Linked DNA regions of Mus musculus: all the other regions are reported to be linked to region 1. The links are microRNA targets in miRTarBase. Many come from high-throughput screens and were not tested one by one. Region 1 holds a microRNA gene; each other region holds the end of a gene's coding sequence.
Evidence for each region. The annotated mature microRNA mmu-miR-124-3p reads UAAGGCACGCGGUGAAUGCC and lies in region 1 at 1,304-1,323, shown strand. An mRNA with a match to its seed (bases 2 to 7 or 8) in the 3' UTR can be bound and repressed. Matches are read on the target gene's strand: a 7mer-m8 pairs with bases 2 to 8, a 7mer-A1 pairs with bases 2 to 7 and ends in A, and an 8mer does both.

Region 2: miRTarBase lists Gm2a as a target of mmu-miR-124-3p. Seed matches in the 3' UTR shown: 7mer-m8 at 1,374-1,380.
Region 3: miRTarBase lists Ggct as a target of mmu-miR-124-3p. The part of its 3' UTR that is shown has no 7-base or 8-base seed match.
Region 4: miRTarBase lists Mvd as a target of mmu-miR-124-3p. The part of its 3' UTR that is shown has no 7-base or 8-base seed match.
Region 5: the mRNA of Gsta3 is a reported target of mmu-miR-124-3p. The part of its 3' UTR that is shown has no 7-base or 8-base seed match.
Region 6: the mRNA of Slc9a7 is a reported target of mmu-miR-124-3p. The part of its 3' UTR that is shown has no 7-base or 8-base seed match.
Region 7: miRTarBase lists Adipor2 as a target of mmu-miR-124-3p. Seed matches in the 3' UTR shown: 7mer-m8 at 976-982 and 7mer-A1 at 2,599-2,605.

Annotation. Positions count from the first base shown.
Region 1 is chr14:64,589,406-64,593,471 of GRCm38, forward strand. It overlaps Mir124a-1 (microRNA 124a-1), which reads left to right and starts at 1,252; the gene lies at 1,252-1,336. It overlaps Mir124a-1hg (Mir124-1 host gene (non-protein coding)), which reads left to right. Exons shown (of 4, transcript NR_040709.1): 3 at 436-554; 4 at 868-4,066. It overlaps Mir3078 (microRNA 3078), which reads left to right and starts at 1,780; the gene lies at 1,780-1,866.
Region 2 is chr11:55,109,059-55,113,124 of GRCm38, reverse strand. It overlaps Gm2a (GM2 ganglioside activator protein), which reads right to left. Exons shown (of 4, transcript NM_010299.3): 3 at 4,045-4,066; 4 at 96-3,747. The coding sequence ends at 3,592. Among named protein-coding and RNA genes, the nearest start is that of Gm2a, 13 kb to the right of the region's middle.
Region 3 is chr6:54,982,048-54,986,113 of GRCm38, forward strand. Ggct (gamma-glutamyl cyclotransferase) reads right to left here. Exons shown (of 4, transcript NM_026637.3): 4 at 3,048-3,954. The coding sequence ends at 3,811. Among named protein-coding and RNA genes, the nearest start is that of Ggct, 8.8 kb to the right of the region's middle.
Region 4 is chr8:122,430,794-122,434,859 of GRCm38, forward strand. It overlaps Mvd (mevalonate (diphospho) decarboxylase), which reads right to left. Exons shown (of 10, transcript NM_138656.2): 9 at 4,011-4,066; 10 at 2,803-3,382. The coding sequence ends at 3,302. Cyba (cytochrome b-245, alpha polypeptide) reads right to left here and starts at 2,147. Exons shown (of 6, transcript NM_007806.3): 1 at 2,017-2,147. The coding sequence starts at 2,074.
Region 5 is chr1:21,264,713-21,268,778 of GRCm38, forward strand. It overlaps Gsta3 (glutathione S-transferase, alpha 3), which reads left to right. Exons shown (of 7, transcript NM_010356.4): 7 at 131-863. The coding sequence ends at 250. The region is part of intron 1 of Gm28836 (a long non-coding RNA gene); the gene reads right to left. Among named protein-coding and RNA genes, the nearest start is that of Gm28836, 4.9 kb to the right of the region's middle.
Region 6 is chrX:20,102,666-20,106,731 of GRCm38, reverse strand. Slc9a7 (solute carrier family 9 (sodium/hydrogen exchanger), member 7) reads left to right here. Exons shown (of 17, transcript NM_177353.4): 17 at 518-4,066. The coding sequence ends at 769. Among named protein-coding and RNA genes, the nearest start is that of Chst7, 45 kb to the right of the region's middle.
Region 7 is chr6:119,351,981-119,356,046 of GRCm38, reverse strand. Adipor2 (adiponectin receptor 2) reads left to right here. Exons shown (of 8, transcript NM_001355692.1): 8 at 119-2,897. The coding sequence ends at 247. It overlaps Cacna2d4 (calcium channel, voltage-dependent, alpha 2/delta subunit 4), which reads right to left. Exons shown (of 38, transcript NM_001033382.3): 38 at 3,640-4,066. Among named protein-coding and RNA genes, the nearest start is that of Lrtm2, 23 kb to the right of the region's middle.

The DNA of each region.
Region 1 (4,066 bases):
GGTCTTAAAATAATATTTTATTGTCCCTATGGATTTGGGGATCTCTCCCCCACCCCACCCAGCTACATTCTATAGGGGTGACCTTTTAAAATCTACACCCACCCTTTACCTCTGTAAAACCGGTTGACGGGTGGGGTGGGGGAACATGTAGGGGTGCGCGCTCTCTCTCTCTCTCTTTTCCCCCTCCCCCCTCCCAGTCTCCCTCCTCCCTCTGTCTCCCCCTCCCTCTCCCTTCACTCCTCCCTCTCTCGCTCTCCCTTCGCTCCCCCTCCTTCTCTGTCCCTCCCTGCTGCATTTTGCATGAGCTATCTAGGTCATTAGCATTTTAGCGTATGCAAGACTTGACAAGGCTGATGAGGGGCCAGATGGGCCTCGCTCTTATTTATTTATTTTTTTTTTCTTTTCCTTTTTCCCATCCACCACTTGGGACCTAAGCGAGAGGACCGCAGCAGGAGAGTTCCGGAAGGCTGATTCCCACAGATCCTGGTAAGGGACCGCAGCAGCTCTGCCCTGCGGCACGCCCGGCCAGGCTACACCCGGACCCTACACTCAAGGTAAAGGCGGCGGTCACAAGCCCTGCCCAGGCAGCAGTAGCTGGGCCCCTGCTTCCCATCCCTTTCCTCTCCGTCATCTCCCTCCTCCTGGCCCCCCTCAGTTTCCTAGGCGAAGCTGAGAGCGAACTGGGTGGGTAGGATTCGCTGCGGTGGGGCGAGGTGGGGTTGATGTTTTTTCATTGTCTGGAACTGCAGGGGAGGCGAAGCGCGAGGAGAGGAGTGAGGGAGTCGGGGTAATTAACACGGGGGAGGCACCCCTCCGTCTCCCACTTCCACCCACATCCCGAACCCTCCACCCCCCTCCCCTTTGCAGGAAAAAGCTTGGAAACGAAAGGATGCGGGAGAACAAAGAGCCTACGGAGGACGTGGCTGTTATCTCATTGTCTGTGACTGGGGGAGCTGCGGTAGGAAGGATGCGGTGGTCCTTAGCTCATCGCGTTCCCCAACCCCACACCCTCCCTGCTGTCAGTGCGCACGCACACGCACGCGTCGCCAGCTTTTTCTTTCTCATCTCTCATTTTTTTCATCTCATCTTCTCCCCATCCCCTCCCTTTCTTTCCACCTTTCCTTCCTTTCTTCCTCCCTTCCTTTCTCCCATCCTCCCTCTCTTCCATCCTTCCTTCCTTTCCATCCTTCCTTCTTTCTTTCCTTCCTTCCTTCTTTCTTTCCTTCCTTCCTTCTTCCTTCCTCAGGAGAAAGGCCTCTCTCTCCGTGTTCACAGCGGACCTTGATTTAAATGTCCATACAATTAAGGCACGCGGTGAATGCCAAGAATGGGGCTGTCTGAGCACCTTGGGTCCACGAGGGCCTGCCACGGAAGGATCGACCCAGCACAACGCCCTGGGCAGATCTCAGCGCTGCAGCTGCAGGCGCCCACAGTACGGGTAGCAGGCTTCTGAGTGCCTCGCAAAGTAGCCCTTAGGGTGGGGAGGTGTGCAGCTACCGACAGAGAGGGGTTTGTGCAGATGCAAATAGAATCTAGGAAGCAAACAACTCATTCTGTGACAGAAACACGGATCTATGCAAGCGGGGGGGTGGTGGTGGTGGTGGCGGCGGCGGCGGCGGCGGCAGAAAATAGCCTGGGGACGGCTGGAGAGTAAAATGTGCCCCTCAGCTCTGGGACCCTGCCCATTGTAGAAGGCCGACACCTTCATCCCTACCTGTCTTAGTTCCGGATTTCAATTTATTACCCTTAAACAAATAATAATAACCAAGTACCCATGCGACTGGCAGACTGCCCCAAAGCCTAGACTGCAGCTACCTTGTATTGTGCTTGGGGTTGCTGGGGTAGTCTTTAGGGGAAGCTGTTTGTCACCCGTTGGTGGAGAGCTGTGGGCATTTGACAAGCTTAAACAGATCTCTGGAGTGAGCGAAGGCGATCGGCAAATTTGTTCATGGACAGCGCACAGACTCCATCAAAACTGACAGCTAGCCCACTGCTCTAAAGCAGGGCCTCCCAGCCTCCTTGGGGCTGTGGCTGAAGTTTCAGGCAGAAATCCAGAAGCTACAGGAAAAGGAGGCGCAGCCCACCCCCAGCCCCCAGAGTGTGGGCCTCTCCCCATCGCTCTTAAAACCCCAAGACAGAAGGAAAATCAGCATGAGTAAGGTGGAGGCCTAAGGAAAGTCTGTTTTGAAGCAGGCTGTCCAGGAACAGAAAGGGTTAATCCTCCCTCATCCTGAAGCACCTGCTTCCCAAATCAGCCCCCAACAGCAGCAGCTGGTCCTGGAGGCCCCCGACACAGTTCCATCCCGTCTCCATCTCAGTGTTCCGCCAACCTGCAGTGGATGGATGATGGCCTGGTGGCCGACCTAAACTCATTAATTTTCAGGTGGAGTAAATGGAGGAGGGGCAGGACCCAGCAGCAGAGGGAGGGAAAGGAGGCCAAGAGCTGGCCTCCTCCCCCCCCCCACAACCCACCCCCAGGAAGCAGGCTGTAGCCCTCCCCCCTGCTGTCATGCCAGAGGCCTGCCTTTGCAAGGCCAAGCCCATGAAGGATGTTTAGGAGTTTAATCTGATTCCTAACACAGTAATCAGGGTCTAAAAGAGCATCCGTTGAAGTTAATGGAGGACTCTTGTCTCAAAAAGCCTCAGCCTCATCTAGTCTAGTAAATTAGTATTTGAGGGTATATCATAGATCAGTACCTCTCTGGCCTAGTTTCCTCAAGAGTATTCATTATTTCTTGAGTATCTACTATGTGTCCTTCTTTACGATGATTTCAACTTCTAAATTTCCTCACAGAAGAGAATGTTAGAGCTAGCCAGGCTGAGCTTCAATTTACCACATTCCACCTAGGCATTCCCAGAACCTTCTCCCGCTCTGCAGAAATAAGCCACCGCCTGCTTACTCTTGCAGGCAGAAAGCTGCAGTGCCCACACCCTGAGGGTGTCTCTGGCTGAGTCCTACCGGACAAGCCAGACTGCTTTCAAGGCAGAAAGGGAAAGACCCAGCCACAATGGCTGTCCTAAGAGACGCCATAGCCATTGCTTCGAGAAAATCTACCTCCCTTGAAATAAAAATTGGCCCTTTCCTGGGGTGCTCCCTCACTTCACAAATGGGTTAGAAGAGAACGGCTAGTGTGCTGTACCATTTTGGGGGTACACCCATTTGCCCCCCCCCCCCCGTGCTCATTGAGATGTTATTTTGCCTTCAAGCAATGGCCTAAGCAGATGATGGCCCAACCCCCCTGGACCACAAATATCCCCATTAGCAATCCTCTACTCAGTAATTGCTTCCCCATGATTCTTTCAAATGTCCCCTCGTCCTTCACCGATATTTCATCTTACGTAACCCCCAGATGCTTCCCCAAGTAAAGTCCTTTTAGGTAGAAACCCAATATGCTTTTGCTCTGAGAGCGCAAACCGCAGGCACCATCCATAAGGCCTGCCTGGGATCTGCTACGGAGGATCTGAGTTGGGAGGGGTGCATTGTTATTTTATTGCTTACGTAAAACTCTTGTTCCAGAAAGTATTATTCGTGTGTTATTGGCGTGTGGGAGTGTTCTGGACTGGCCAGTCTATGTGAACCAGTGTTCGTATGTGTCTACCAGATCCCCTTCCCAGAAGGGGTTTGTATGTAGGACTCTAATGACCTGCTCAGCCCCAGGTATAAGTGCAAACCCCTTTTGTTTCCACCAAATGAAGAATCAGAGCCAAGGTCAGCCTGAGCCACCTCCTTCCTCTACATTCGCTGCCCTTCTCTGCCCATCAATAATTATGCAGAGAAGCCTTCTGCTCTCTCAAGGCACCTCCTGGATTCTCAGCATCATCTCCCCTGCCTATTTGAACCTTCTAATTACATCTTATGGCGAAAATGAAGGGAGGAACTTGCGATCTAACAGTAGGATGAGGCTGCCATAGTTTGATGGCTGTATATGTTTTCTTTTTCCCCTTGGGTTTATTCACACCCGCTACTGCCTTAGTCCCCACTGGGTACAATCTCTTGTGTTTCTTAAGGAACCCGGTACTTGGACTAGATTTAGTAATGTATCAAAGGACTAATTACAATTGCTAT
Region 2 (4,066 bases), not on the chromosome of region 1:
CTGACCACAAATGCACCATGGAACAAGTGCCTGAATACTCTTTCCTCTTTTGCGCACATACACAGTAAATAAATGTAAAAGAAATTAACAGAAACTTTCACAAAACAGTCTCTTTTTATTTTGAAAAACTTCTAAAGCAAGACAGAAATAGCTCAAATGTCACATCACCTGTCATTAATGCTAAGACCCTCCACAGCCACACCCACGTCAACACAGCTGAAATGCTAGTCTAATCCGACATCTGAAATGAGGATCTCAGACAGTGTCTGTATTCTCTCCCGGTATGCATGTGGCTGTTTCTAGATCATTCCTTATTATTCGTGGCCTTGGCAACCTTGAAGAGCTGCTTGGGATTATCTGACCATAGTTATATTGAGATGACATACTAAGAGCATCTCAGAGAAATGGCGCATACCCTTCAGTAACTGCTCATTTTATAGTGTTAGTTTTATAGCCCAGGCTAACTTGAATTTAAAATCTTCATAAGGGCTGGGATTGCAGGTGTGAGCCACCACGCCCTGCTAGGTAAGACTTAAACAGTGCAGATACTTGGTTTTTGTGCTATTTTATGCCCAGCTTAACATCCACATGAGACTCTTGTCAGTGGGTGACATTTACTCCTGAGGCTGCTGGCTTTTTTCTCTATCTTCTTTTCCTTGGGGTTCCACTGTGCACAGTAGACTCTATCCTGGGTTCTTATTTAAAAGACTCAAATGCATTGTCATCTTTTCTGTTACTCAAACTAACCAGGGATTAATCATCAGACACCCCTTCAGGTTGTCTGCTCCATTCCCTTAATGTGGAGGTTCACGCCTTTGATTCCAGCACTCAGGAGCCAGAGGCAGGTGGGTCCCTGAGTTCAGGGTCATCTTGGTCTACACAGTGAGTTCCAGGCCAGTAAGGGCTACACAGTGAGAACCTGTCTCAAAAATTATTTATATATAATGGTGGCACACACACACACAAATAATAAACTAAGCATTAAAAAAAAACCCACCCTCAAGACTGGGCATGGTGACACACACCCTTAACCCTAGTTTTCAGGAGGGTACATGGCAAAGCATAGTAGTATAGCAGGCTGATATATACAGCACTGGGAAACTGGTTTCCATTGTAGGATGATGTATACCGAGTACCATGAGGGATGATATATACAGGGTTGAGAAGCAAGGTATCATGGTGGAATGTATGCAGGCATGCTCACCTCATTGTGGGCAGTAAGCAGAAACAAAGGAATGGTGTGCCAAGACCTTCAAGTGCCCGCTCCCAAAGACCTTATTTCCTTCTTTCTAGGCCTCAAAACACACCATCCTTCTTTGTTCATGGATCTGAGATGTCACCTCAAATCTTACCCACAACCCACAAGAGACAACAAGGCACATTTAACAAGTATGACATATAGATTTCCTGAGCTGGTAAGGTGCTGTTCTGATTGTGAACTTGGGGTGCATTGCATACAATCCCAGCAAGTAGTGGGAGGGCTAAGTTCCAGACTAGCCTATACCACCTTGCAGAACCAACCAAACAACAAAAGCAGAGTGCAGACTACAAATCAAGAGAACTAGGCGTGGTGGTACAGGCCTGTAATCCTGAAAGCATAAGGACATGGTCATGCTTGTCCTATGTACAGAGGAGTTTGAGGTCAGCCTAGACTAGATAGAATGAGACCCTGCCTCTCAGTAGCAGATTTGCCTTACAAATTTGAGGACCAGAGTTCGGGTCCCCAGAACCATGAACACATTTATAATCCCAGTAATAGTGGGATGTGAGGTGGGGGCAGGTGGATACCCAGGACTCTCTGACCAGACAGCATGGTTTGCATAGCAGTTCCAAGTTAATGAGACCCTGACTTAACACAAAAAATGGAAAGCACCCAAGGAATGATACCCAAGGTTGTCTTCTAGCCTCCTCTCTCTCCTCTTTCTCTCTCACATGCATGCACATGCACACAAAACCAAAAGAAAAAAATATGTAGTGGAAAGCTTTAAGGTTGAATGGCAGAAAACTAGGCTAAGGGATCTGAAAGCAACCCTGGGCGTTCAGGCCCAAACAGAGCAAGGCGGAAGCCCCGGCTGCTGCTGAGATGAACACAAGCACCCATGGCCAGAGATGCCTGGACTCCCCTGGACCACCCACTGAGCCCTTCCACAGCCACAGCCCATCACAGACTCCCAAACATGCAGCCATGCTCAATGAAGCACACAGCCAAGAAAAGGAGCCCACACAGCAAGTTAAAAAGATTTATTGCCAGACCAGTCTTCTAGTCCAGAACCTGGGCTGTCCGAGGAGGCTCAGGAAGTTGTCATGGTGCAACCTGATGTGGGACCCACTCTCTTCACAGGACCCCTGTTCCACGTGGTGGCTGCTAGGTGGGATCTACTCCAGTGTGAACCCCTCTACTCTGGTGGTGATGGCTCGGAAGTTGGCACAGTGCCCAGCTCTCAGAAGCCATGTAGACCTGCTCTAGTGCAGGCTGAGCCCTCTTTGAGGCCAGGCACCAAGGACTTGACCTTGAAGGGGGAAGAGATGCGGCCAGATAACTTGAGATTGAGAAGATGAACAGATGTGAGGAAAAGCAGCCACCTGGGAGCCAGATTATGTCCCTGGGTGAGTCCGTGGGGCCCCTTTGGCCTGCATAGTAAGTATATATAAAAAAACCATTTGTTTCCAATAGTTAAAAATTCTACAATTTCATATAAACGGCTGGGTTTGGGGCCTAAGGAAGAAAAATGTTGCAAATATCTGGCAACATTCCTTACATGGAACTTGCAGGGGACTGCACCTCTTTAGAACTAGATATGCCATTCCAGACCCTGGCCACCTGGCACCAGAGCACATGTGCTATTGGTTTTTTTGGTTGTTTCTTGTCAGGTATAAGGAATGCCATCCCATTCTTGAAGGCATCATACCAAAAAAAAAAAAAAAAAAAAAGGAAAAAGGAAAAATGGGCATCGCTCCCAGAAGTGATTGCTGTGCCTCCCTAGGTCTTCGGCTTGGCCCTACAGGTACCTGTGCTTTGCCAAGGGTTACTGGAGCATGCCCAACAATAACTCTCACAGGTTTCTGTCACACACCACCCTGCCTCTTCAGGATCTGTCAGCCCCAGTGTTGACAAGTTAAGTTGCAAAGAGAATGCAGTTAATCACAGAAGTTAATAGAGGGACCCAAGACTGACTACCTAGACCTCTTTGCAGGAAGAGAGGCTCAGGATGGAATGAGAAATTAATACGGTTATCCTGGTTTTAAAGTTGGTGACTAAAACAAAGAAGTGGGGTGAGCATAACTCCAGGAGGTCCAGGTTGGGCCAGTTTTGACCTTAGGATTCCCAAACATGTTGGTTCCCATTCCTTGACTGTTTTGGATACGAAAGAAATTCTTAGAAAGTTGGTAGGGGTGCAAAGGAGCATGGCTTACAGCCCATCAGATGTTGGGCCTGGTCCATCCTCCCTCAGGTCAGGTTGCAATGATTTCCAGAGAGGGTAGAGAACCGTAGGAGGATAGAGTTAGAGGCAGGCAGGCCTGGGCACCGGAACACAGAAGAAGAGGCCTGCCGTGCTGGTGCCCCTTCATTCTGTGGTGGCTGCTGCCAGGTTATCTGCCCTTGAGAGAGGCAGCAATCTTGATGCAGCCCAGGCGCTTCCCACCACTGCTCAAGATACTCTGGATGCGGTAGTTGCCTGTGCTCAGCCAGCTCGGTAGCTCTAGGTCAGGCACTGTGAAGTTGCTCGTGGGTAGTGAGTAGGTACCCTGAGGGGAAGAAGTGAAGCCAGGTCAGGGCGGCCTATTGCTGACAGCCATAGCTGTGATCTCCCCCCCGTCCCCATTCTGCTAAGAGCCAAGAGTGGTGCTATAGCCCTTTTCTAGGCTCAGTATGAAGGGTACCAATGGTCACAGCTAAGCGTAAAGCTGCTCCATTTCATACACGGATAAACCAAGGCTTCCAGCTCCCAAGATAGCGGTTCTTATATACCCAAAGAAACAATATGCAGAATGAAAAGGCCACACCCACACCCACTCTACCACCTTGACACCCCAGGTACTCACTTCCTTGAAGGGACAGTGGCAG
Region 3 (4,066 bases), not on the chromosome of region 1:
GTGCTCCAGAGCCTTTGCAGCAGCTCCAGTCATACTCTTAGACACTTATACTTAATATGATAACTGGCATGCTGAAATATAACTCTGCCATCTTATTTTTGCCTTTTAGTTGAAGCTTGTCATATTTATGATCCTTCTGTCTCAATCTTTCAAGAACTGGGATTATAGGTACACACACACACACACACACACACACACACTGGCTTTCATCTTGTCTTCTAATAGTGAGATTCTTTTATTTTTAATTTTTGTTTTGCAAAAATCCTTTCTGTATTTATTGGTTGCCCACTGAGGTGTTACACATTCAAATATAGAACACTTATCTTCTTGGCTTTCCTCTTCTAACCCTGCTCTGTATTTTCGGACCTTGGCAGTTAGGATTACAACTTGTGCAACATTGTCAAGTATGAACCAGGAGACTGAGAAGGGATTCTAGTGCATTTATCCTAATTTTTCTCATGGTGACCTTATCTTTCTAATGTGCAAAGCTTCCTCCTTTCATTCTTTCTTTTCTGCTTATTTTCTTCGTTGTTTTGAGCAGGATGGCTGGTAATATTTTTAAAAACTTGTCTGTGTCTTACTTTGCCCTCATTGTTAATGGTTCTGGGGGTTTTTCCAGTTCTCCATGAAGTGTGCCACTTGCTTCTGAAGTGTGCCGCTTGCTTCTGGGCTCCGCCATTTCTGATTGGAAACAATGTACCCCCAAAACTTAATCCTAGTTTCAAGAATTTTTCATTTTCCAAACTGACTATGCAGTGCTTTGGTGTGCATTTCTTTGGGCTTGTATGGGGTCCACTCAGCTACTTTGTCCTTTGCAGACCTCAGGATGTTTTGGCTTCTCTGCAGGCTGGCCTCTTTCAATACGTCAGCTCTAATGTTAGGATTCAAACGGGCTCCAGGATCTCTTAGCTTTTTGGTTTTCTGCTCACCCTGGCAGCTCTTACTCCATCACCCAGCTCACACCTCCTTTCCGTGGTCCCCACTGTTCTGCTGCTGAGCCCCACACACTGAATTGTTAGATTTCAGCCATGGTGTTTTGATACTAACATCATCATTCAGGTCCTGTCCTCTGCTTACTGAGGCTCTCTATGTTATCACTGGCATCCAGCAGGATCCCAGAGCTTGCTGTGGCCATTTCCTCAGTCACTATGGAAAGTGACGGCATTCTCATGAATAAGACACTTTGGCTTGGTGATCTGCACTTTGTGGTTGGGTGTTGGAAACAGTCACAACTATAGTGGTCTACGTTAACCCAACCTGTGGCAGTGTTGAACCCATGACCCTTGTGAGCATTGACAATAACCCACTGAACTAGCTCACCACTACCAATGGCTGTTTGAAAACCTTTGACAGACAATCCCAACATGTCACATCACCCTGGCATCTATAGTTACCATTTACCAGCTAGTCTGGTAGTTTCCTTGTTTTGGAATATGATCATCAATTGAAATCAGAACATACTGGAGTTTTATAAGGCTCTGGATCTATTTAAGTCCTGTTTCAGCTGGTTCATTCTCAAACTGTTCTAGCATGGAGGTCAAGGGAAAACCATCAGTGATGGATGGGAGGTTACATCCCCATGGTTCCAATGGCACACTGAGACAGAGTGTTGCTGCCAGGTCCTTCCCAAGCTTTTTGACACGCATATGGTGGCAAAGTGGTTAGAGGATTTGTCTTATGCATGTGTATGTGTAAATCCAGGCTCTCTTCCAGGCCCCAATTGGCATGGTGGAAACAAGTCTACCACGTTTCTCTATGGCCTGCACGGAGTGTTTGATCTCTCAATGTTTTTTAATACCAAGCTGTCCCTTTCCTAGTATCCTCAGTAGAACAGGCTATGTGTACTGTGTGTAAGCATTCAAGCACACCCTCTTTGCTGTTTCCAGTGCATGGCTATTTTAGTTACACGCCTAAGCTGTATGAGGCAAAAGAAAATTCAGAGAATTTACTACTCTGGGGCACTGGGTCTTAAGGCCCTACTGAAGACTGCCATCTCCCCAAACTTTCAGTCTTGCCCCAGATTGTTGCATAAATAATACACAGAGATTTTAGTTGTACTTAACAGGAGAACGAGGGAAAAGCACCTCCTAGTCCATCTTCGCAGGAACCAAGGTCTCCACACACCTCCATTTTAAATTGTTGTGGGGTTTCTGTTGGTCATTTTTGAGAAGGCTTTACGATACAGACCAGGTGGGACTCAAGCCATCCTCCCACCTCGGCCTGAGTGCTAGGACACAAGCGCACAGTTCCATGCCTAGCAAAGCTGTTGCTTATGTGAGAGAGGGTATGCAGAGAGGCCAGAGGCCAGCCTTGGTGAGCCATCTATTTTTCCTTGAGACAGGATCTCTCTTCTCACCAGTCTGGGAACTCTCCGAGCAGGCAAGGCTGGCGGGACAGCGAGCCCTAGAGATGTGGCTGTCTCTGCTCTTCCAGCATTAGAAGCTTTTAACAGCAGAGATTTTGGACAGGAGTTCTCAGGACGGACCTTGGGTCCTCACGCTTGTGTACTGGGCACTTAACTAGTCGAGCTATCTACCCAGCTCCGAGCTTCTATGTTTGCTGCTTTCACTCGTGGGAACTGAGGTAAGCAAACAGGAGCCATGCTAGTCCTTCCTAAGGACTCTGGTTTCTTATCCTGAACAGAAATGCCCCCGGTTAACGCTGCATTTGCACCCAGGACACTGGGCCTATTTCTTCCCAGCCTTGCTCTCAGCTCACAGTCCATCTCTTTTTTTTCTGGGACAGGAGCTGGCACACTTTGGAGATTTCTGTTATTTTTCTGCAACCTAGGACCTAATTATAATTATTGTTTTCAAGAGTTGTATTGTTTGTTAAAGGGCCCAAATCACTGATTAAACAAAAAGGAATCCCCTGCCTCATATGATGACACACATCTGTAACTAGATGCAGGATGGCTGGGAGGCAAGACAATCCTGAATGCAAGGCCACTCTGGACTACAGAATAGGCTTAAGTCTCAAAAGACAAAGAAACCCAAAACTCCATTACACGATGATGATTGCTAATACTTAGAGCCAAGCTGTGTCCTAAGCTTATCACATGTTTACTCATGAAATCTTCAAATTCACGTTTTTGATTTTCCCTATTTATACAGGTGAAGCAACTAAGGTCCAGTGAGCCAGAGAAGCTCAAGTCCCACAACTGGAAAGTGGGAGGCTCAGCTAGCCCCAGTAGCACAAGACTATAATCCCAGCCAGCTATATGAGAAGCTGAGGCAAGATGGTCACAGGTTCAAGGCCAGCTTGGCTCCAGAGTCCACAATACCAGTTAACACAGACTCTATGAGCTGAGGCTGCTCTGTGTGGTCTGAGCAGAGCACAGTGAGGTGGAGCTCTTGCTGAGAAACCCCTTAGAGTCATGAAAGCAGTCGCCCCTCAAAGGACAGTGTACCATCTTTGTACTTCTCAAAGCCTTACCACCTACCCTCTATATTTTGCTTACTTCTTACAAGCCGATCGGATACAAGCAGAAAGCAGACCAAGCGCAGCAGTGCGCCCCTGAGCTACAGACCTACCCTCCACGGAGGTCGTCCACACAGTGGGGGGCTATAGCAGTGTCCACAGGAGAACCCACGGCCATCACCACTTGCACATGCCAGGATCCCCTGGTCCCTTTAATGGTCTAAGCCCATCCCCATTCCAGTTCTTTGTTACAGTTAAAAATAAAGAATCACCTATGTGAGAAGCCCTTCCCAGCACTGTTGAAAATCAAGGTCAGAACCAAGAAGGTCCAGACTCCTGTTCGCAAACGTTAAAAGCACTTCATACTAGCACACATAGCTTCAGAGTCTGTTATGACAGTTTTGACTCTCCCTTTTTGATGATGTCTTCCATTTCGTCGGAGATCTTTCCTTTATACTCATTTGGTTCTATTGCTTTTAATTTCTCTTGATATTCCTGTGGCAAACCGTTTTCTTTCGCACCCATGCAGATAACCTAGAAATGGTTAAAATAGGGGAACCCTTTTAGTTAGGAGTATGATTTAGTGTAGCACCACAGCTTTGTCTGTACTGTAGAGATCCACGATATTGGCTTTCGATGACGAAAG
Region 4 (4,066 bases), not on the chromosome of region 1:
AACCTTCCTGTTTTGCTGGTCAGCTTTAAGGGTGCACTCTGCAGGAGGGAAGGGTACTTTGTCACACATTCACTCGGCCTGCTACCCATAGTCCTTAGGGACTCATGTCCTCACTGTGAGCTTCTGCTACACTGACCACCATGAGTGGGAGGGGTCATTCTTTACCCAACAGGGAGACCCAAGGACTGATTCTCAAGCCCCTGGCTTGCTGAAGTGATACACTGTAACAGAGGGTTCAATCCCAGGGAAGCCCACTATCTGAGGTTGATGTCTCAGCAGGTGGCATCTGAGTCAAGACTGAAAAGGAGGCATCAGCTGTGACCCCAGCCAATTGTACAAAAAGCCCCCCCCCCCCGCCCCCCTCCCCGTGCACATTCAGGAAACTCAGAGACAGAGAAGGAGCAACCTAGCAAGGAAGGCAGGAAGAGCCCAGGAGACAAGCAGGGGGGTCAGGAACGGGCTTTCGTCTTGAGATGGAGCCAGGTAATGGGGCCAGAACAGATGGAATTTTCTGTGATTTAGAAAAAAACAAAATAGGGGGCTGGAGAGATGGCTCAGGGATTAGTAGCGAGGGTTGCTCTCCAAGGGACCTGAGTGGGGTTCTCAGCACCCGCATCAGGCAGTTCAGAGCCACCCGTATGTAACACCAGCTCCATGGGTTCCAATACCCTCTTCTAGCCTTTGTCTGCAAGCGCCCCCGCACTTACACACATGGCCAGACACACACACAATCTGAAAAAAATCAAATGTTAAAAAAACAAAAGGAAACAAAGTACATCCCTGTTGATTGGACCTAGACAGTTCAGAACCTTCCCAGGACAGTTGTGCTTTCCCGTAAAAAGAAAAGTTAGCGGAAGTCACACTCGGTGGAGAAAGTAAGTGGCCACAGCCTGTGACTCCTCAGCACAGGAGACTTGTGTCAGCCTGAACACCCTGAACAATTAGCTGAGGCAGTACATAGAGACCTTAGCACACACGAGGACAGGAGACACTGCATGGACAGCGCTCGCCAGGTCTTCCCACCCTTAGGTGTGTCTGGCACCCCCACTTCCTGGAGGTAACTTTTGAAACCGTCCATAGTGGTCACAGGACAAACCACTACTGGCAGGAGGCTGGGAAGGGTAAGAAGGGAGACTGCAGGTGGGGGAGGGGCGCCATTTTCAAAAGGTTGGGGTTGCAAGGCCTTCCACGGGAGCTTCCAGCGTGGGCTGGGGGAGATTTCTCTATCACCTCTTCGATGCGCTATTCCCGGGTGAGTGGAGGGGGGTCTGGGCCATCCTCCCTGCCCTGGCAGGTCTTTTCTGGCTCCCTTCGGCTTTGAGGCATGTCTGCAGTTTCTAGTCTCAGGCCTGCTGCTCATGGTCTGGTCTATTAGGTTCCTTTCCTGGTACAGTGAAGCCCAGGGGTCCCACTGCCCCTTGGCAAACCTCCCAGACAAGCTGAACTGTTCAAGCCACGGCCAGTGTCAACCTGACTAAAGACTAGTGTCCTGCATCTTAACTCGGCAGGCCATCAGGGCTAAGATCACTCTGAGGGGTGTCCAGACTCTTGTGAAATAGTTTCTGCGCACACTTCGCTTGTGGGATGGAGCCGATTGCTCCTCTAGGATGAGCTTAGCTCCTATCCCAGGCCCCTCGGGGAGAAGCCGGAGCCCGAGTGACCTCAAGGCCAGAGTCCCAACTCCTGGCCAAGTGGGCTGTGCGCAGAAGAGGGTCTTCCGGGGGTTTTCCTAACCAGGCGGGAAACCACCGAGTGAATGTCTCTTCCCCAGCTGTAAGCAACTTCCTCCTCTGAGGTCCCAGCGCGGACCCAACAGGGTGCAGGGCGGGGTCGCCTCTAGAACAGGCGGCCGAGCACGGCCTGCAGCGGCCACCGCCCGTCCTGTGCCCGGAGGCCCCGGTAGGTCTCTCCGAGGATCCGCGCTTTGAGGTCCGCAGAACCAGCCCGAGCCCTGCTTCCCCCGCGGTGCCCCACGGGTCCTGAGCAACCCCTCCACCCGCAGCCCACCTCACTCACTCAGGCCAGACGCCAGCGCCTGTTCGTTGGCCCACATGGCCCACTCGATCTGCCCCATGACGAGGACCCTGCGCACACGCAGCAGCCCGGTCCAACTCTGCAGCCCACTTCGCAAGTCCTCACTGATCGGCCCGCCCCCTGCTCAGGCCCCGCCCTGTCGGGCTGTGCCCCAGAGGCCTCCTCTGCACCTTCCCTTTGAGCCTTGGTGGGTGGGACAGTCTCCCCATCGACCTCTCTCTCCAGCTGGAAAGTACCAGGGCCACTTGTGACTGCTTGTGACTTGTGACCGTACCCCCCCAGGGCCAGAGGCGTAAGTCACTTCATCCACCTGCTCCTCTAGTTATCAGATAAAGGCTGCTCCCTAAAAGGAGATGAGGTTACTTCCGACCCACTGTGAGCTGGGGCAGGTGTGTGTCCTGGGTCACGTGACTACGGGGTGGGGGTAGGGGACCATAGTGTGCAAGGCTGGGAAAACCCAGAAAGCAGGGGACAGAACACCGGAACACCGTTGTTCTGTTGTCTCTTTCCTCTGGCCTAGACCAGCTCCAGCAGCTGTTGCATGTATGCTGGGGTATGACTTAGGGTGGTCACAAGGTGGCAGGAGACTCTCACGGGGCTGGCTTGTGGGCAGTGGGAAGTGTTCCTGGCAGGACCCACTTCAGCCCCCACCTCTCCACTACATAGGGAAACAAGACTGAACTCAATGGCGGGTAGGACCCAGCAGATCAGTAGACCAGAGACCCTAAAGCGCTGGTTTAGGAAGAAAGAAGAAAGCACAGCCCACACGGGCAGGCAGGAACAGCACACTTTATTCCTGTGGTCCTCAGGTCCACTGACTGCACCCTCATGAGGCACCCACACACACAATGGACCCTACCTGTGGGCTCGACAGCCCCTACCCTCACCAGGAGGCTTTATAAAGAAACTGTGGCCTGAGTCTCAGCAGAGAGGCACCGCTGTCTGAGCCATCACGCTTAGATGGTTACTGAGGCCCTCAGAGCATCTTGGGGGAGGGGGGAGGCACCGACTCCCCATCCCTGATGAGCAGCTGTCTGGAGTGCTGGAAGGTCCATCGAGTGGGTCAGCTAGCCCTTCAGAAACCAGCGGGGAACCGGAGGCACTTGAGAGGGGTTCCCGTGATCGCCTAGATGGCTGCCCATCACACTCGACATCCCCCAGTATAATCGATCATCAAGCAGCCCTTCAGGAGAGGCTGACCAGCAGGCCAGCTCCCGAGTTCCAGTGGGCAACCCCTTTCTCCAAATGGCACTGGACGTGGAAGAGGTCAAAGGTCCCGTTGTGGCAGTCCATCCTGGCCTAGCAGATGATCATGAGTGTCGTCTAGGACTTGAGGTCCTGGTCCGACCTGGGGGGAGAAAAATCAGTGTCCAGTCATGGGGTGCGGCAGTAGCCGCTGCTCCGGAGACTTTACAGGTCAGAGACTCTAAGGCAGGATTAGATTGGGGGGGGTGGTGAGACACGGGTGGGTCCCTTCGTGGTAAGTCCACACCAGCTTGCGCAGGATGAGCCTCTCAAGCTGCCTGGGGTTCCATTCCGGGCTAGATTGTGGGGATCTTAGTGACCCTCATCTCGTGTGAAAGGAGGGACCCAGAGCAAGCCTCTTTGAGCAGGATCAGGAGACGCGGGGATGCTGGCGTGCTTGTGGTGGGTTACATCCTGAGAGCAGATTCCCAGGGACCCCAACATCTACCTCTCCTGGCAAGTGACTGCTTTTTATCATCTTTCTGTCCAGAGTACATAACCCTCACATCCCGCCCCCGCTCTCCTCTACGAGTTGTCCCTAAATGACCACTGAGGGGAAATGAGTAAACCAGACAGTGTCCAATGACTCTGAGCCTAAGAACGCCATGTGGCTACTTCCGTGCCGTGGCTGATGTGGGCTTCTGCCTCCGCCCTGAGACACAGTGGGGGAGGCTTGGATCCTCCCTCCCTCCGGCAGGTAAGGGGGTGCCTGCCGTGTGTACTGGCCTCACCTGAGTGGCAATGATGTACTGGACCCCACCAGGGCTGGGCTCCACCGCCAGCGCGG
Region 5 (4,066 bases), not on the chromosome of region 1:
CTGTCTCCAACCTCCACCCTGGTGCTGATGGAGGGGCTCGGTTAGTCATTTGACTGGCAGGGGCACAGGGCAGGGCAAGCAATAACTCTTTCTTCGGCTGCTCTCTGAGGCTCTGCTTTGTCTGTTGCAGGCGCTGAGAAGCAGAGTCAGCAACCTCCCCACAGTGAAGAAGTTTCTTCAACCTGGCAGCCAGAGGAAGCCTTTTGATGACGCAAAATGTGTTGAGTCAGCAAAGAAGATTTTCAGTTAATTCAGGCAACTATAAGTACATAGCCCCCACAAAGCCAACCTTCTAAAATTTTGCATCACATTGAAGTGTTTTGACTAAGTGTTGACCCTACTTAGAAAGCTAACAAGTTTTCTAAGGCGTCTGTGTCAATTCAGGTAGACATGACTGACGAGGAACGGCCGGATGCTCTCTAGTTGTAGTTAAAATTGAAATCATGATCACTTCCTCGGATATTTTCTTACTGTTCAATAAAACAAAACAAGCTTCTTAGACTCTGGAGTATTCGAACATTGTCATTCAATAGCTGTCATATCCTTGTCAAACGGAGAAATCTTCCTGTCAAATTCTGGTTGATGCAAAAATAATCTTTCCTTATGGAGAGTGCCCTTCCTGACCAAATACACACAGATGTGTGCACACTCAAACTGTGAGGAACTCTTTTCCTTTAACTTAGTAATGGTTTTCTTATTCAGTTATACAAACAATACATTTATGTTCAATATAGAGCAATTGATTTCCCTGGGGCTGCATGAATGATGGATACAGCAGGGACAATCAAATTACCCAGCCACAGAATCTTGAATTTCTGTAATAAAAGTATTAAAAACTTAGGTATTCCTAATACAGAACTGGACATTCTGTGTGTCCCATTCCTAAGGTTTCTATAACAATGTACCACAAACTTTGTATCTTAAAATAATATAAACTTATTCTTGCTCAGTTCTGGGGGAGGTGTCTGACGTCTAAGTCTGCGATCCACTAGGTTCTCTCAGAAGGCTTTAATAACGAATCTTTCTTAGCTTGATGGCCAGTAACGCTGAAATACCTTGGTTTGCTGATATAATACTCAAATCTTTACATCTGTAGAGATCGTTCTTCCAGAAGACAGTATCAGGAGTTACAGGTGGAACAGATGGAACACTCTCTAGGACAGAATTTATCCCGAAGTCTTATGGATCAGCATACCTAGAGATACACCTGCTAGACTCTGAATGTAAGAAACAGTAGTTCCTTTTTTTTTCTACTATGACAAAAAACACATGAGAAAACTTTCTTGTTGTAGGTAATATTTAATCTCAATGGGTGTTTCCCATTTGATCATTCAGTCCCCAGATAAAAGATACACAACTTACACAACTTTTATATTTATGATAAGTCTTAGTCAACACAAGACCTGGGCAGATATCTACCCTCTAAGCAATTAGTTTATACCTCCCTATCAAGAACCCTGAGTTATGACTTGCTATTTTCTGCATGGGCCACTCTTACTCTGACTGGTCAGCTCATATGTCCAGTTTTTTTTTACTATCCCTCACCTCATGGTGTCTTCCTCCCTCTCTTTCCTCTTTCTTTTCCTCGTGGTCTCCTGCCCCCAAACCCAAGCCCTGGAACCAAAGGACCCACCTATCTCTCTTCTGCCCAGCTATAGGCTGTATGCAACTTTATTCACCAATCAGGGATAACTTGGGGGGCAAGGTTACATATAGTCACTTGGGTCTATGTGAGGGTTCTTTCATCCCTGGGAGCAAGCAGGTTTTGACCAGTATTTAGCATTACAATACATAGCAATGAACGTTTTATTTCGGTTTATACTTTGAAGGTAGAGTCCATAGCAACTTTCCAGGGGCCAACACATTCAGTTGTAACCCATAGTAAATCACTATGCATTATAATGGAGCCCTGGGCCAAAATTAAGTGTTTGTCAGTGACATTTTGGTGTGACTTATGCAACAGCTAAAGCACCTCCAATGATGAGAAAGGTTCCATTGAGTCCCTGTTCTCAGTTACCCAAGAAGCAATAGCAGATAGCCCCAAAGAGATAAGGAATCAGTCTCTAGCTGCTGGATCCATAGGCCATGCCCTTCACTCCCCATGTCCCCCAAAGTGAGGCAGCTTGTTAAATCCTAAATTGATTGGTAATTTTAAATTTTTTATTTATTTTTTTAAATAAATTTATTTATTTATTTAATGTATGTCAGTACACTGTCCAATCTTCAGACACGCCAGAAGAGGGCATCAGATCCCATTACAGATGATTGTGAGCCACCCTGTGGCTGCTGGGAATTGAATTCATGACCTCTAGAAGAGCAGTAAGTGCTGTTAACCACTGAGCCATCTCTCCAGCCTGGTAAATTTTAATAATGTTTTTATTAACTCTTTGATAATTCCATGTATTTTTTAACATACTCCACCTAACTCATACAGATCCTCTCCTACCTACCTACCCACTTCCCTTTCAACACATTTTTGTTCTTTTCTGTGTCTGTCTGTCTCTGTCTCTCTGTCTCTCTGTCCTTTCCCCCAAAGAGTCCAATTTGTGTTACTAAAATACTCTTGGGTATGGGGTCTAGAGAGTGGCAGACTACTGGGAGTCATATCTTCTCAACCTCATGTGGGTAGGTAATGTGAGTTTGAGATCACAGTGGTGTCTGTAAAATGAGTTCCAGGCCACCCAGGACCGCATAGTGAGACTCTCCCCCGTGTGGAGGTGGGAAGCCCTTAACAAATTGAAATAAAATAAAAAACTAAACAAATAAACAAATGGAAAAGGTTAATTTGTAAAAGAAACAGCAGTAGGGTAATGAGAAAGACAATTCTGAGCTCCAAGCACGTAACTCCATATCACCACAGCCAATCACCACACAAGCTTTTATGAGGGCAGTGCTATCATTGTGAGTATTTCCTGGGCGAGGAAACTAAGGTGCAGAGAAAGCAGACAATGACCAAACCACACAGAGCCAAGATTTCAGGATCAGAGATGTCTCACCGTAGGCGCCTATGCAATCCCGCCCCTGAGAACAAGGGGCATCCAGCTGAACAAGGTGAACAACAGTGTGAGTGGTGGGCTTGAGATCTCGTGGAGGGTTCTTCTGTTCAATCGCCCCACACCCTGTGACACAGTGCACCATCCACCTGTGACTCACTCTCTTCTGCCCTATGAGCATCTCACAGGAGGCCCCACGTAGTACTATGTAGAAACTGGTCATACCATATATCTCAGCCTCCATGACACCGAGGCTTACTAGCTGTGTCAAACCAGGTGCGTTCTTCATCTGCTCTGTGGTGCAGTTTCTCCATTTTAATAGAAGGAAATTAGAAATGTCTAGCTTACATGGTTACTTCCAAAATGAATTAGAGTACCAGGATAGTGCCGGGCACTTACTGAGTGTTCAGGAAACATTAATTGTTCAAGGCACAGAAAGACAAATCCCATGTGTTCTCACTTGTATATGGAAGCTAAAGTTTTACCAAATCCTAGGAATGATGTGAGAGGGAGACGTTATAGGGCACACAGAATTGCTGAAAAGGAGGAATAATGTCTAATGTTGCCCAGCACAGTGGAAGAGCTATGGTTGGAAACTACTCTACGCTCTTCTGTAGCTAGTATACAGGATTCTGGATGACCCCAGAGGGAAGAAAGTAATAAATGTCTGAGGTAATGACTATGACAGTTGCCCTAATTGGTTGATAAGATACTAAATATAAGATACTGAAATGCCACACTTTACCCCAGAAATATGTGTAGTTATTGTGTGTCAATTGAAAGCAAAGGTACATTTTAAGAGAAATATTAACTGTGCAATAATAGTAATCTTTACATGTTACCTGGTATTTCAGCACACCAAGAAGAAGACAACTGATGTAGAGTAAATCTGTCACCTGCACATTCAATGAGGCATATTTAAACCCCTTTGCACTCAACAAGTATTTACTGGGCATTATCTTTGTGCAAGGCAGTAGGAAGCAGTTTTGAAAAGGTTGTAGACACAGGCTTGTCTACAGTACAACAGGGCAGGGAGTAGCAGATGGTGAACAGCCCCACGGGGACAGGCGTCT
Region 6 (4,066 bases), not on the chromosome of region 1:
GGGACATTTAAACAAAATGTTTGAGCCATTTAAACAACAAAAACAAAAACATAAAAAAAACCTCCTGTAATTTGAAGCCTAATAATTGTTCCCTTCCTTAGAGATTAGGGATATGCACACTAGAATGATGACAGTATAAGCTCAGTGACCATACCAAGGGCATAGTCAGACAGGTTTCATAAAATCCTTTTTCAAGAAGAAGTTTTTTATGCATGTATGTATTTGTGTGCCTGAGTATGTGTGTGTATGTATATGATCAAATGTGTGCAGGTATCCACAGGGTCCACAAGAGGGTTTCGGATTCCCTAGAACTAGAATCACAGGCAGCTGTGGGTTGCCTAATTTGGGTGCTAGGAATTGAACCTGGGTTCTCTATAAAAGCAGCAAGAGTTCTTATCTTTTATACCATCTCTGCAGCCTCCCAAGTCCTTGGGTTTTTGATGTAAGAATTTGGGGTTAGGTTGGCCACAGCTCTGGTAAATCTCAGGTTCCCCTTTTTGTTGGCTGTACCTTTCAGAATCAAGAGCCACTGAGAGAAGATGACTCTGATTTCATCCTAACGGAAGGTGACCTCACCTTGACCTATGGGGATAGCACCGTGACAGCAAATGGCTCCTCAAGCTCCTACACAGCCTCCACAAGTCTCGAGTGTGGTCGGAGAACAAAAAGCAGCTCTGAGGAAGTACTTGAGCGAGACCTGGGAATGGGAGACCAGAAGGTTTCCAGCCGGGGAACCCCCCTCGTGTTTCCACTGCAGGAAAATGCATGACTTACCTGTAAATCCTGAGGGATCAGGGAGGCTCTTATAAGGGTGAGGATGGCCAAATGCCCAAGTGTGTTTGATGTGTTGTATTGACCATGTTAAGACTATTGCTTCTGTTTCAGTGGGGCCTGAAACTATCTTACCACTCAAAACTTAACTCAAGACTCAGATGGTAAAGCTGAAGTGTCTCTAAATTAAACACAAATGCAGACCTATTCCCACTTTTTCACATAGTAGTACACTATTTCAGAGTTAAACAAAACAACAGCATGCTTTACTGGTCTCTCTCTTCATCCTCCTGTAGTATCTGAGCATGGTGGGGCAGATAAGGGGCTTCATCGCTATGCTATAGTGCCAGTCTAGCTGGCTCAAGAAACATCAAATTGGGAGGACAAGTTAGACAAATGACAGTGAAGAAAAGAAACTGAGATCAGAATTCCAGTGGTGCCAGATGCTGGTGTTGCACCAGATGCTGGAGCCTCTGGCTCTGAAGACTTACATAGCTACATCTTCCTGTCACAGTCTTGCCTGTTCAAGTTGTGTTGCTCCTAGACTGAGGATTAGGAAGCAGGCCCATAGGCTGGGACCTTAGGTCAGTGGGAGAGTACTAGAGCCTACAGCTCACCAGATCCTGGGACTGCAAAAATTGTGTGTGTGCACAGGGGTTTTCCAAGAGCATTTCAATATGGGAGTTGGGGAAAGTCTAGTTCCTTCTCTTAGAATCTCTATAAAAGAGTTACTGAAATGTTAAAAACCAAAGGCAAAACACGTTCTGTTCTGTTTTAGTTAAACTGAGGGCAGAAGGTATTGGGAAATTGCTGATGATACCATAGCAGTACTCACTTGACTTTTGAGGTTACCATGTGAGCCCACTGCCTAGAAGGTAACATACGGACTAAGGCGTTGTCCAGCACAGGGTTTAAGATAGCATGGATATTGCTGTTATCTGGGGAAGAGAAGGCAGCAAGAAACAGAAGTGGCCATAGACTATAGTTTGGGGAAAGAGATTTTAATGTGAAAAGAATAACCTGCAAAGAAAAGAAAAGATGGAAGTCTTTATTTTATTTTGCATACATTTTGCTTTAAAACATCCAAAAGTAATTCCAAAATCACACTACATAAAATATAGAACTTGCTTTGTTATAAATTATAAAAATATGCGTGTTCAAGTAAATGCTGAGTTTCCAATGCCAACTATCTTTAGGACAAAAACTTCAATACTTATAATAATTACTTTTACATTGGCATTATTTTCAATACTTAGAAGATGAAAATCATTCTTATGCTTTGTTTCAACCTAAACTTTTGTTACTAAAAATACATAGCCAAAGCCTTTTAAATGAGCTAGTATTTCTGCTCTTTAAGGATAGACAGGAAAGTCCAAAAACAAAGCAAGCAAGCAAGCAAGCAAACAACCCCCAAAACCTGACTTTTAAAAACTATTAGGTAGCTGGCATTTTGACTACACCTTACTTTGTGAAATTTGATAACTCCAGGAATCAAAGATGGGTCATCTTTTTGTATATGATTTGGTGTTGGCCAAGGAGCATCCACTGTAGCAACCTTCCTGTGGGCCAGGTTCTTGTTCCACTTCTGAGTTTTGAACATTTTGTTTCCAGGCTGACTTTGTTTACTTTCTACAGGAATTATGTATGATACATTCAGCTATGTACCAATAGATAGGATCATATCTGCCTAAAGTCTGAAGTAGAAGGTGAAGCAGGACGAGGTTTAGTCAGATTCATCCTGCAATCTGGAAGAACTTCTGGATATACTTTGCTGTATATACAGAATATACAATGAACTTCCCTAAGATTTTCCAAATCAGAACTTCTCCAGAAAGCGCTAGTAGTCAAAGACAGTACTATTTTTAAAATATTGCTTTAACCAACTAGCTTTTCCTTCAATTCCAGATGAAACCCTGCTTCTGTAAAGCTTCTTTGTCTAAAAGCAACATCGCAAGCAGCAGTGAGAAGCTGCTGGAAATGCTGCTCTTTTGACCATTTCTTTTCATTGCTGAATCTCTAACTCCAGCTTCCTGAGTTTCTTGAATGTTCATAGTCTTGTCATGAAAATACAGCTTCATCATTCAAATCTTCTCAGCAAACATTGTGTGGCTTGCTTATCAAGTTTTCTGTATGACTTCAGTATTCTCCACCATTTCCTTGTGTGCTTTAAAGCTGCTCTCTCAAGATTTTATGGGAAAGGCCCACATGCTCAGTCTGTTCACCTCCCTAGTACGGTCTCCTGTCAGGTAATTTCCTGTATCAATCATCTGCTGTTGCTCCGTGTTTCCTTTTGAGGGGAAGAAATTCAGCATCCCCCACTAGAATTTGTTGCTGATGATATTTATAATAATTCAGATGAATAGTTTCCTCTTTGTAACTCACTTCTCTTTTGCCCATTCTCTGGGAGCCTATGTTTACATCAGTTCTCCTCAAAGAATTCATAATGGCTGTGGTTGATTTTCATTCTTCTCATTCCTAATAAGTTGATGAGGACAGGCCTTTATATAGTCATGCTCTTGTTCTCTTATATATTTGTACTGAGTAGCTTAGTCTGCAACATGACTTAGTAAATAGTTTACATCATCTTTCTCCTATTTCAGTAGATTCTTGTTCCTTCCTCATAAGCCCCCTTCTCCTGAAGTCTGGCACTTCCCTCCTGGAGGATTCTAGTTGCTCCCTGAGTTGCTTAGCAGATCTGCAGATGACCCACAGCACCTCCTAGCTTCAGATTCTTTGTTTTCACTTTTGTTTGTTTGTTTGTTGTTTTTCGAGACAGGGTTTTTCTGTATAGCCCTGGCTGTCCTGGAACTCACTTTGTAGACCAAGCTGGCCTTGAACTCAGAAATCCACCTGACTTTGCCTCCTGAGTGCTGGGATTAAAGGCGTGTGCCACCACGCCTGGCTTCACATTTTTCCATGCTACAAGATTTCTCCTATGAGGGACAAGTAGCTCCAGAGAGTCTAAAACAGAAACTATACTTTATTCTTTCTTTGTTCTTTTACTCTTGGATTCTCCATGTAATTAATGGAAACTAAAAGTAATCAACTCTTGATCAAGATATGGATGGGTCAATATTTGCTTCTGTGTATACTAAGTGATAAAGGCATTTGCCATTGACAATAAGCTTGCTTGAGACATCTTTATTTCCAACGTATACTAAGAGATATTTTTGCTTTCTGCCATCAGATCTGGAACTATCCCATTCATCCAGTCTCCATCATTGGGGTATCTGATGAGCCCATTATAGCAATGAAACTCTTAGAACAGCTGCTGTGATACAGACATCTCCATCAA
Region 7 (4,066 bases), not on the chromosome of region 1:
GCATTCCCACTGTCCGAGCAAGCTGGGAAGCAGTGTGCCTTACTTCCTGGAATTGTTACTTCCTGGGGACCTGACCGTTAGCAGGCTTAGTGATAGTGGCTTTCTTTTCTCTCTCCAGTTTCACTCTCATCAGCTCTTCCACATCTTTGTGGTTGCTGGTGCCTTTGTTCACTTCCACGGAGTCTCAAACCTGCAGGAATTTCGTTTCATGATTGGCGGGGGCTGCACTGAAGAGGATGCACTGTGATACTCTCCAGGAACCAGGGACTCTGACCCTGAGCCAGGCCTGCAGGTCCTGCAGGCCTTCTTACTGGCTGTCGGTGCCAGTGCCAGAGAAGCCCCAAAACTTGGACAGCCTCATGGGCCTTGTGTTGGCCCAAGGGCTCCATGGGGTACAAGACTAAGAAGAGAAAAACAAAAATAAATCATACCTCAAAGGATGGAATGCATCGATTAGGAGAGAAGGAGAAATGGCTCATCCCCTGGCTTCCTCTTGGGATCTACCGATTGAAAGCAACTCTGCAAGACCCTCGCCTGACAGGCTGGCTTCTGATGTGATCGTATTTATTTGTAGAAGATGGGGAAACAGTTTAGTTGGTGGTCTTTCTTCTCCCTTCCTTGCTCCTTGCAGCAGTAACATGTATGAGTACCATGCACCAACTGATCGTGCCATTGGAGCTCCTTAAACAGTAATCACAACCAAGTTAGGGGAACATTTGTATCCAATAAAGGGGTGGGAGTGCGGTTTTAGGCACTCCTTTGGGAGAACAAAGAAATTAATGTAAATAAGATTTCTAATTTACTGTTTAAATAAGAATTTATATAAACATTTAAGACATAGGGGCAGGGAGGGAGGGAGACTTTTTTTAAAAAGAATGAAACATGCAAGTACCACACACTGTTTCAATTTTGCACAAGTGATGGGAGGAGGATGGAGTGGTAGCCCCAGAATGCACGATGTCTTGGTGCACCAAGGTGCCTTCCCTAGGCCGATAACACTTGGACCCTGCTGGGGCAGAGTGGACAGCCCCAGCCCAGGAACTTCCTGGCCACTCTCAAGACTGAGAGCCTTTGGGCATTCAGAGGGGGAGGGATGTGGAAGTCGTGTGTGCTTTTCAATGGAAGCAGCACAGGTTGTCATAGTGGCTCTAGAGAAAGTGTCATTTGGGAGACTGTTATGTAGGCTAGTGATGACCCTTTTGAAGAGTGAAGCCACCTGGTTCTACTGTAGATGTAGTAGAGACTTGATGAAGGGGAGGAGGACCTGGGGGCATCAGCATAGGAATGGTCTGCTTCTCCCTGGTGTCTCGTTTGACCAGGTGGTAGTTCTTATCTGAATAGAGGTATGGCCATTTTCCAGACCCTCTCTGTGGAGCTCTGAGCCATTCTGCAAATTTTGCTCTATTGAGAATCACTGCCCTAACTGTCCTTCCTCCTGGAAATCAAAAACTGCCCCCCCCCCCCCCCCCCCAGCATCAAAGCTCCTTCGTGGAGCCGGCCACTAGTGAGATTCTGATGAGCATGGGTCCCACCTGAAGTCATGCAGGCAGGTGTGGAGGACCATCCCTTGGACTAGGAATGGTGGCGCTTTTCTCTGGTGCAGGCTTGGCAGGCTTGGCATGACAACAGATTCTTCTCCCGTTGAACAAGAAAGTCAGTAATACCTACTGTGGAGTTGTTAGCACGCACTGAATGCCATTTGCAAGACCTGTGCTACAGAGTTGAAAAGGAAGTGGACTGTTATTACCAGGTAGTCGGATAGAATTAAACCCACAATTTTGAATTGCTGCTAGAAGTTACAAATAATTTCTTTGTCCTAGGGCCTTCTTGTTATGGGTTTTAGAGAGTGGCAGTGAGTTGGGTCTTGGCTCCTAAGTGAGAAACCAAGCACTTGAGTCTCTTAGACTCTAGGCCTCACTCCTTGGGGCTGGTGGGTATTGCAGTGTAACATGGGCCTCGGGCATCCCAAAAGGGGTGCTGGGCAGTATGAGGAGGTCCTGTTTTTACAGTAGTGTTTTCTTGGTCGTCGTTGTCCTTCCTCTACCTTCAGATCGCCACCCAGCTGCAGCTGGGACCCAGGAAGGAGTCCATTGAAAACCTGGGAAGAACTTCAGAGTATTGGGTTGTGGATAAGGTCACTGCCCTAGGTAGGCCCAACAGGAAGCTCTGGGTGAACAGCATTGTGCCAGACAACTAAGAACAGTGTTAATTCCTCAAGAAGCAGTTCATCAAGACAGTGTCCATCCGGAAGGAAGCTCACCTAGGCTTGTGGTAGCAACAGCACATATCAGCAGCCAGACGCACTCTCTGGTCGTGCACTTTGGGACATGAGTTTGAGACGCTTCCTCATGACACCTACAGGAGTAGAGGTCTTTGGGACTGGTCATCCCTCTTCCCAAAGCAGGGAGACTCTGGTTCAACATAGCACAAACTCTTAGGGAACCGAATCACCACCACCACTGTAGTCCAGTAACTTCCCTTCGGTGTGTGTGTGTGGGCATGTGTGTGCCCTGTATGTCTGCGCAGCTCACTACCAACAGCCTCCATGTGCACTTGACCTTGTGGTGCCTCCGGGAACTTTCCAGGTTGGCACCTGAATGCCTTACTCTCAGCAGTCTGAGGCTCGCTTGCTCTGCGCACACGTTTCAGTCTCCTTTTTTGGCCCTAGGCTGGTTAGGAACCTGTACACCTTCACTCTCTCATCATTAAATAGTGGCCTTTTTCAGTATTTCCTCTCTCCCCTCTATAAGTTGCTGAAATCACAAAGCACACTTTTGGGGATCATAGAAGGTTGGGGTTCCAGAAAGGCATCTCTGTGATGGTTCCATTCACTATGGGGATTTCCCTACTTGCTGTCTTCTTGATTTCTCTAATAAAAAGAGCCAAATGGAAAATGAGTTTTGTTGTGTTTTTTTTTTATTGTTGTCCCCCCCCCCCCTTTAAAAACTTACCTCACTTTTGGGATATCCTTAATATCCTAATTTAGTCAGGAAGTTTAGGGAATTTTTAGAAACTTCCTGCCTTCAGGAGGTTGATGCAGGAGGATCATGAGTTTAAGGCTAGACTGGGCTTACACAGACCTTGTCTAAAAAAGGTGAGCTTTCTCTATACCTGGTTAAAGTGACCATCAAGGCCTCAGGGCTGTGTGGAACCTGACCACATGCACTGGGCCCCTGTATTTTGTCCGCTCCATTTGCAAGCCACTTGAAACCCTCAGGGTGGTGCTGCTGTAGCCCAGGGACAGCCTTACTGGGCACAAGCCATCTGATACTTCCCCACACCCAATCTAAGTGCTCCATGGCTGGGCCCCTCAGAAACGACTGAGGGAGACAGGCTGCAGCCTCCTGCCCTATGGCCACACTAGACTCAGAATTACGAGGCAGGTGCACATCTGCTTCATCCTGTTGTTTGCCGTAGGATATGACTCATTACCTTCCCTGGTTCCATATGCTCTCACCTGTCAGGTTACCTTTTACAGCCTTCCTGATGCATGGTTCACCATAAAGAGTATTTCGGAAGCTGCCGAGCCCTTGCTCTTTTATATCTGAGCCCCTCTCAACCTCTCTGCTTGCTTTTCTGACCCTAGGATGTGGTCACTACTATGTCCCCTGAACCAAAACTTGACGTAGCATCACAAAATGCTGTTGAAGCCTTTTATTTGAGGTGGTTCTACTCTAGCACATAAGCTCAGCGGCACATTCCTGGTGCTTCTGACAGGGCTCCAGCTCTTGTGGTTGAAGGCAACACAGATAAGGAAAGATGCCAGAATGCTGCATTCCATTCATTTAATCTCGGGGGTGCCAACTTCATTCCTCTAAAGTCAAGGTGCCAGATCTTTCACCTAATCCAGACTGCAGTCTTCCAGTGTCTTGGTGGAGTTATGATCACTCACTGAGGAGGGCTTAGCTTGCCACGTCATGTCTTGGCCATCCTCCTACATGTCCTTTGGCGGCACTAGTCTCAGAATTGAGAGGCAGGCACACCTTGGGAGATACCTGGTGTCCATGGTAGGGACAGAGCATCATGAAATGCCTTCTCTTCAGCTGCTCTGGTGGTGTTCTAAACG